Linked DNA regions of Callithrix jacchus. The protein of the gene in region 2 binds, or shares a complex with, the protein of the main gene of each other region. Links are inferred from orthologs where the notes say so. Each region holds a gene or a part of one and is shown on either strand. Other genes may lie near its edges.

Region 1 (3,852 bases), on a different chromosome or scaffold from region 2:
TTTGGGATTCTACCATGGTCAAGTAGTAGGGAGTCAAACCTAGGTCCCTGAACCCAGCTCAAGCCTGCCTGCCTCATGGCTCTGCCTCCATTTACGTCTCTGCTTCATGCCTACTGCCTGTTTCCTGTCTGGACCTGTTCCCCAGCTCCCTGGACAAGCTTCAGCTGCTGTTCTCCAGCTTGTCATGTGCTCCTGATGACAGTGTAGATACAGCTGGATCCTGCGGATTACTGCTTGAGCAAGCTGAGTGCTGCTCCTCAGAATCTTCTCTTAGGCCTTTCTCTTGCCTTCCTTCATTCAATAAGCATTTTGAGCTTATTGTGCTGGGTGCTAGAATAGCAGGGAAGACAGACCTAAGCTGTAGATTACAGGAAAATCTGACTGACACCTGCTATCTCAGAAGCAGAGACTACAGCATCACAGGGAGCCAGAGCAGGGAGTTCCAAGCCCTGGGAACTGTGTGACTCCTATTGACCCTTAAGCAAAAATCTAAGCTCCAGGGAACAGAGGCAGCAACTTGAGCTCCCTGGTTGACCAGATATGATTAATCATTGTTTCTCTGTGTTTTGAACATGACTGTGCTCCATAAATATTTTAAAGTTGGGAAGAGGGTGAAGACAGATACACCAAAAGAAGTAAACAGTGTCTGAAACCAGCAAAGGGTTAAAAGTTACCAAGAGAGTGCTCAGAGCTTTCGTCTTTTTTTTACCTAGCAACTGGTGTCACTGCATATTTTCCCCTGTACTTATTGGAAGAAGGCCTTGTGTGTCACTCAGTTGCTAAATCACTCAAGGGGTTCACGGAAGGGACCTGTCAGTTTTTGGTTAAAAGAACCCAGAAAGAGAAGGACTACAGGGTTCTCAACTGATGGTGTTCCTGTTACCTCTCATCGTTGTATTAATGGCGAAGCAGAGTGATGCCCGTGAGTACCCCACATTCTCTTCTCCCGTAACTCCAAAGTCGAGGCAGCCTAGAAGGAACAGCTTTTCTTCCTAAAACTTGTGGTGGAAAATATAGAAGCCAGGGGCAAAAAAGTGTATGTATTACATCAAGACTCCAGGAGCAAGGGACGACCTGAACAGTTTTCCAGTTCCTATTTGTAGGACTTTGATGTCACCCCCTTCTGAGGCAGTGGGAGCCATTCCAGAGACTAGACTCCGGAACTTCCTCACTTTCCCTCTGAGTGTGGTCCCCCTTATTTTCTGCTCATACTTTTTCTTTTACTTTTGTTTCTCCTCTTCTCTAACCTCCAGAGTCTCATGAGGACGTCGTCAGAGTTTCAGGGGCATTAACAGTGGAGCAGATCCATTGTTGAGGTTTATTTAGTTTTCTCAACACAAGCCCTACCTGTAACAAAAGATCCAGGAAAGATAAAACCATGGCTCTGGGCTTGTTTACTGGCTGTGAGAAGTGTTAATCAAGTAGAAGGGAGAGTGTTTCATTGCTTTAGGAGCTCATGTCACTGGGGAAGCAAATGCCTTCTGTTGCCTCTAATAGGTGGAAGGGCCCCTGGGCTAGAACCGCCAGGCTTCTCTGCTCTAGGCACCTGCTCTCTGGGCTGAGGACTGGTAGTGTGTCTAGAATGTAGGCTTGGCCACCACCATAGATATTACTGATGGACATGAGAGGAAGGAGCTCTTTCAAATCATCCATGCATGTAGAGAGTGGAAGGAGTGAGAATGGAGATTCAGAAGGGTGGAGGGGTGGATGATGAGAAATTACTTAATGGGTACAATGTGTGTTACTTGGATGATACTTTAAGACCCCAAATTGACCATTACGCAATCTATGCATATAACAAAATTGCAGCTTACATCATACATTTATACAAATAAAAATTTAAGAATCATCCATGTATTAATTGTTCAAATATTGATTGCTGGGCTACTATGTGCCAGGCACTTTGGGGGATATGGCAGTGAACAAATAGGCATAATCTCTGCTTCCATGAAAATTTAATCCAGAAAGTCTCATCATCTATGGGAAGGATTGGGGTGAGGGTGAGAGGCAGAAGATGAAAGAGGAACAGTGGAGGGAGGTAAAGCGTGATATTTTTAGAAGTAAAAATCTTATATATTGCCTGCATGTGATTCTCAACTCTCCAATAATATGGAATAATATTCCTTAAACATATTATCCCCTTGACAATCTCACTGACTGTGGTAGGTGAGGGAAATATCTCCATTTAAAGATGAGCCCTGGATTTTTCTCTAGGCCTAGAGAGTGACCAGGCTCACATAAGGAGCAGCCTGAAGGAGACTGGAGGTCTTCTGGCTCTCTGTCCTGGGCTGTTTCACAATGTCACTGTGCCTCTGGGTGTCAAGACTTGTCACTTTGATAATTGGGGGGATAGGAAATAAAACAAGTAAGTTACAAAGACAAGGGAAGGTCACTTGGTGCTGGCTGTTCTCCTTTTGGCTCCTCAGACTGCATCCTTCTCTGTTCTGTTTTGTGTCCTTGAGGCTGACTGCTAGACTGCATCACCTAGACTCTCTTGCAAGCTGATTTCTGCTTGGGTTCCCACAGTGGGAGACACTGAAGAGAGAGAGGTCAGAGAGCAGGGAGGAAAGAGAGGCTGGGAAATGTCTTTCTTGCACCTTCCCCTCTTTCTATAATGTCTCTGGCAGTAGCTGTGTGCTTCCGTGCGGTTTTCTTTCCTGAGTAACCCCTTCTTCATGGTTCCAGCTCCCATTGGGCTTCAGTAATACTATTTGCTATTCTTATCTCTTAAGCCCTAGGAGTGATAATGGCTTCCCATAGTTGTTAGCCTGCTGGTGCCCATCATTTTTGTGTGTTCCCTTAACATTGACCATATCTCTGCAAGGAGTCCTCATTAAGGTCTCCTCATGTGACCATCTGGGCTGAAGGCTGTTTCCTGCTAGGACCCTAACTGAACATTCCTGGGCTTTGAGGGACATTGGCAGGGAAAGGATATGAGATTATAAAAAAATACTTGGTGTACTTGATATTTATGCCTAGTACTAGCCCTGAATGGCTGCTATATAATTAATAGATGGAGAAACACAGAGAGGAGATTCTGCAGTGTTGTGGGTCATTACTCCAGGAAATGTCAACGTAACTCCAATATCACTTCCAATGTGTTGCTTTCATTGACTCCATAGCCTGCAGTTGACTCCCCCTTCCTTTGTGCTCCCATAGCTCCTGTTCTCAGTTCTATAATTTTCCATTTACAGAAATCTTCCCTTTGAGGCACTCCTTAAAGACAGAAAGAGATGTCTTCATTTTTTCTTATTTCTCTGGCACTACCTAGTGCCCAACAGGCACTAGTAAATACTTCCTGGGTGAATTTATGTTTGGAGGTAATGTCCCTAAGAAATCACAGTTATTTGACTGGGAGCCACAGAGAGCCTGGGCAGTAATAATGATTACAAATGCAAAAGTGTGGCTTACTGTAGCTGCAGGATTTGTGTTAAAAAGGTGTTTCAGGCTTTTACAACTCATCTTGTTCTTCATTTCAGCCTGTGTGAAACTGAATTGGTGATATGGGTAGGTGTCGTCAGTCTGGGGGCCAGCATGAGATTTCTCATGCATAGCCATGTGTGGTTTGTGTGTTTCATCTTGACATAATCAAGGTCAGTCTCTTGATATTACTCATACTTTTATGAGTCTGTCTCAATTTGCTATATCAATCTACTTCATGAATGGTGGAGTCCTTCACAGACGAGGCCTGATGATAGATAGGCTCCCTAAGCCTATTTTAACACCTGGGCTAGTGTTAAAAAAACATACATGCATATTATCTGCTTAGAAAGTGACCTTGAGTTCAAAGAGTTAACATGAGAAAATATGGGCGTTTTCTAAAGACTTTATTAGACTTCAGTCTGTTTCCAT
Region 2 (3,779 bases):
CTGAGCTGAATTACTTGCCAGTCTCCAAATTCTCTTTAGGCTGTTTTATGACTCGGCCTTCATATATGCTAGTTTCTATTTAAGGTAGTTAACTTGGCTCAAATGTCATCTTCTCTGTCTACTTAGTCTCGTCTCTGTTACTGGACTAAGCTCCTAGAGGGCATGATCAGGAATTATTCATCTGTGATCTCCAGCCCTTAAGCACCTTGCCTGGCACCGTGGAGGCTGGAATATAATGAAGTCTCAGGGGATGTATGGTAGAAGCTGTGGCAGCTGCCGCCTTGGAAAAGACAAAGCCAGGAGCAGAGGCAGAAGCCTGAAGCCAGGACTGAACAAAGTGCATGGGCAGCAGAATGAGGCCACAGATTACTGGGGGAAGAAAGCCATGAACCCAAGTGTGGAGAAAGGAGGACACTCCCAGTACCTGGTGGGACAACCTGGGTTCTGGCCTCAAGGGGCTCCTTCAGAGAGATGTGGGTGACCTGGCAGGTGTAAGTGGCACCTGCAGACCCAGGTTCTGCGGTGAGAGAGGAAGAGATGCTGTAGGTGCCTGCTGCGCTTTGCCTGAGGCTGGAGAAGGAAGCGCCAGAGACTTGGACTGGGGATCCACCCAGTTCCTCTCTGGTCCACGTCACCGCCACATCCAGAGGATAATAGCCAGCAATGTTGCAGACGAGGGTGGGCAGCAGAGCTTCATTTGCCAAGCTTAGTCGTACTTTGGGGGGAGCTGGAGAAAGAATGAGGAATAAGATTACACAGGGATCCAGCTGGGGACAGTGGAGGAACCTGAAGCCTTTTCTTCCTGCCAAGATGAGAGTAGATTGTGGATGCTAAAGTGTCCCTTGGTAGTATACCAAGGCGGAGGCATGTGAGGGGCCCACATGGATGCAGGCCATAATTTGCGGGTTGCATTTTCCAGAAAAGTGATAGTAAAGTCATCTAAAGGTTGGCTGGCACCATTCTAAGCCAGCAATTTTAAAGGATAGCAGTGATGATGGTTAGAACTGTTCCCACTGCCCCGCCTTGGTTTGCTGCTACTGTTCTTCAGGATGTGGCCCAAAAGGACTGAGCTGTTGGAGACAGCCGGCCACAGCAGGGCAGCAGCATCCTGGCCTGGAAATCTTGGTGGAATTATCCTGGAGTCCAATGGACTCTTTTTTTTTTTTTTTTTTTTTTTTTGAGACGGAGTCTCGCTCTGTTGCCAGGCTGGAGTGCAGTGGTAGAATCTCAGCTCACTGCAACCTCTGCCTCCTGGATTCAAGAGATTCTCCTGCCTCGGCCTCCTGACTAACTGGGACTACAGGCACCCACCACCATGCCTGCTTAATTTTTCTATTTTTAGTAGGGAGTGGGTTTCACCATGTTGGCCAGGTTGGTCTTGAACTCCTGACCTCAGATGATCTGCCCACCTCAGCTTCCTAAAGTGCTGGGATTACAGGCATGAGCCACTATGCCCAGCTGGGACTCCTTATCTAATGCCATCTGTGTTTCCAGGGTGAAGATGGCATTTAAATTGTGGGAATGACGCCTGCTTCTCAGGGAATCACTCTTGCGTTTGGGTCCCAGTCTGGAAACACTCCAGTAGGCATTTTCTGTCCCCCTCCCTGGGATAACTGTGTCCTGGCCTCACCTTGGATGTTGAGCTGGATGATCTGCTGAGCTCTGTGCAGAGAGGTGGTGATCTGACAAACATAGGTCCCCTCATCCTGTAGAGTGAGGCTGGGCAATGTGAGGGAGGCATCCCCAGCCATGCCCATCTGTTCAGGCTTCAGGGTAGCGCCCTTCCGCCCAGCCTGCCCCTGCCCTGCGGTCCAGCTGTACACCATCTGACCCTTGCCCTTGTGCTGCAGCCGCCACTCCACATTGATGAGGTCCAAGCCTGGTGCCATGGAGAAGCCACAGTCCAAGGAGGCTGAGGATCCCAGCAGGAAGCTCAGGGATTGGGTCTGTGTCGTCACCTGGAACTCCACTGTCAAGAGGAAAAGAGGGGTGATTTGTGGGCTACTTCCTCCTTGAGGTCACATGATCTTTAAGCTGTGGGCGTGTTATGGGCCTTGCCTCTTCCTCCTTGCCTGGCAGTGAGGCCAGTTGAGCTTATTTTCCATCACATGGAACCACAAAGAAATGGGGTTCTAGAAAGGCAGCATGGTACACATGGCGACCTTTATCATCTTGGGATCACTCACCCCTAGGATAATCTAGTGAAAGCTATGGACCTCTCACCAGGAAATACACATGCAAAATTAAGAGTTACCGTCAATCTTCAGGTAAGAACTACTAGAATAGCCGAAAGAGCTCTGAAACCCTGGTTGTTCTGCTTACTGGCTCTGTGACCTTTGACAAGTCACTTAGTGTTACAAAGCTCACCTGTTTAAGCAAGGATACCATGAAGACTAGGAAAGAGACTTTAAAAAGCACTTAGTAGTAGTGACTGTGCCAAACATGCTTAACCTAAATCCAGTCAGGAGGAAAACAATCAGACAAATCTAAATGGTGGGATATTCTGCAAGACCACTAGCCTGGACCCTTCAAAGATGTCAATTCTGTGAAAAATGCTCTAGATTAAAACAAGGAACAGCACAGCTAAATGCAGCGCATGATTCTTGTTTCAATTGTGTACTTAGAAAAAGAAAGCAGTGAAAAACATTATTGGGACAAGTGGAGAAATTTGAATTTGGAGACATTTAATTAATTTTTTTTTAAGAGACAGGGTCTCAGTCCAGGCACAGTGGCTCACATCTGTAATCCCAGCACTTTGGGAGGCCAAGATGGGCAGATCACTTGAGATCAGGAGTTCAAGACCAGCCTGGCCAATATGGTAAAATCCCATCTCAACTAAAAATACACAATTAACCAGGTATGCCAAGTGCAGTGATGCATGCCTGTAATCCCAGCACTTTGGGAGGCCAATGTGGGTAGATCACAAGGTCAAGAGATCAAGATTATCCTGGTCAACATGGTGAAACCCCATCTCCACTAAAAATACAAAAATTAGCTGGGTGTGTTAGCCTGCAGCTGTAGTCCCAGCTACTTGGGAGGCTGAGGCAGGAGAATCACTTGAACCCGGGAGGTGGAGGTTTCAGTGAGCCAAGATCTCGCCACTGCACTCCAGCCTGATGAAAGAGCAAGACTCCATTAAAAAAAAAAAATTAGCTGGATGTGGTGGTGGGTGCCTGTAATCCCAGCTACTTGGGAGACTGAGGCACAAGAGACAGGGTCTCCCTATGTTCCCAGGCAGGACTTAGACTCCTGGGCTCAAGCAGTCCTCCTGCCTCAGCCTCCTGAGCAGCTGGGACTACAGGTGTGCACCACCATGCCCTGGACTTCATAGTTGAGGCTACTACTGTATCAATTTAAAAATATCTTCAAGTATGAAGAGCAGTGGCATACTAGGCAGTGGTGTGGAGAGATAGGGACAGTCTGCCCTGGCAGGGAGGAGTATTTTATCACTGATACTGTTCAGAATTGCTGATGTTGGGAGATGGTGACACTATAAAGCCATTTGACTTTCAGCTGATTTTATTATTCTGAATTTTTTTTTTTTTTTGAGATGGAGTCTCTGTTGTTACCCAGGCTGGAGTACAATGGTGAGATCTCGGCTCACCGCAGCCTCCGCCTCCCAGGGTCCAGCAATTCTCCTGCCTCAGCCTCCCATGTAGCTGAGATTACAGGTGCACGCCACCATGCCTGGCTAATTTTTGTATTTTTAGTAGAGAGGGGGTTTCACCATGTTGGCCAGGCTGGTCCTGAGCTCCTGACTTCAGGTGATCCACCCGCCT

The links.
Region 1: the proteins of TAPBPL (region 2) and MR1 are in contact, whole or in part, in an NMR structure (PDB 7RNO), measured with the Homo sapiens proteins. The link is inferred for Callithrix jacchus from reciprocal best matches to the Homo sapiens genes TAPBPL and MR1. Residues at the interface, in NP_060479.3 of Homo sapiens: His47, Arg48, Gly49, Ala50, Ala52, Ser53, Ser54, Leu129, Met131, Thr132, Glu133, Thr135, Arg228, Gln230, Lys232, Gly233, Arg234, Gly235, Thr280, Ile282, Gln293, Ile295, Gln297, Arg307, Leu308, Ser309, Ile320, Cys321, Asp322, Leu355; in NP_001372090.1 of Homo sapiens: Arg101, Arg104, His105, Asn107, Thr129, Gly130, Phe131, Leu132, Gln133, Ile143, Phe144, Asn145, Asp147, Thr148, Leu152, Ala153, Val154, His159, Thr160, Lys162, Gln163, Ala164, Ala167, Asn168, Gln169, His170, Thr213, Phe214, Pro215, Asp248.

What each region holds. Positions count from the first base shown.
Region 1 is NC_133519.1:39,321,746-39,325,597, forward strand, and holds the start of MR1 (major histocompatibility complex class I-related protein 1), read left to right. Parts: upstream 1-774; 5' UTR 775-867; coding exon 868-922; intron 923-3,852. UniProt on the Homo sapiens protein: Antigen-presenting molecule specialized in displaying microbial pyrimidine-based metabolites to alpha-beta T cell receptors (TCR) on innate-type mucosal-associated invariant T (MAIT) cells.
Region 2 is NC_133510.1:20,075,929-20,079,707, reverse strand, and holds part of TAPBPL (tapasin-related protein), read right to left. Parts: intron 1,970-3,779; coding exon 1,631-1,969; intron 728-1,630; coding exon 425-727; intron 1-424. UniProt on the Homo sapiens protein: Component of the antigen processing and presentation pathway, which binds to MHC class I coupled with beta2-microglobulin/B2M. Association between TAPBPR and MHC class I occurs in the absence of a functional peptide-loading complex (PLC).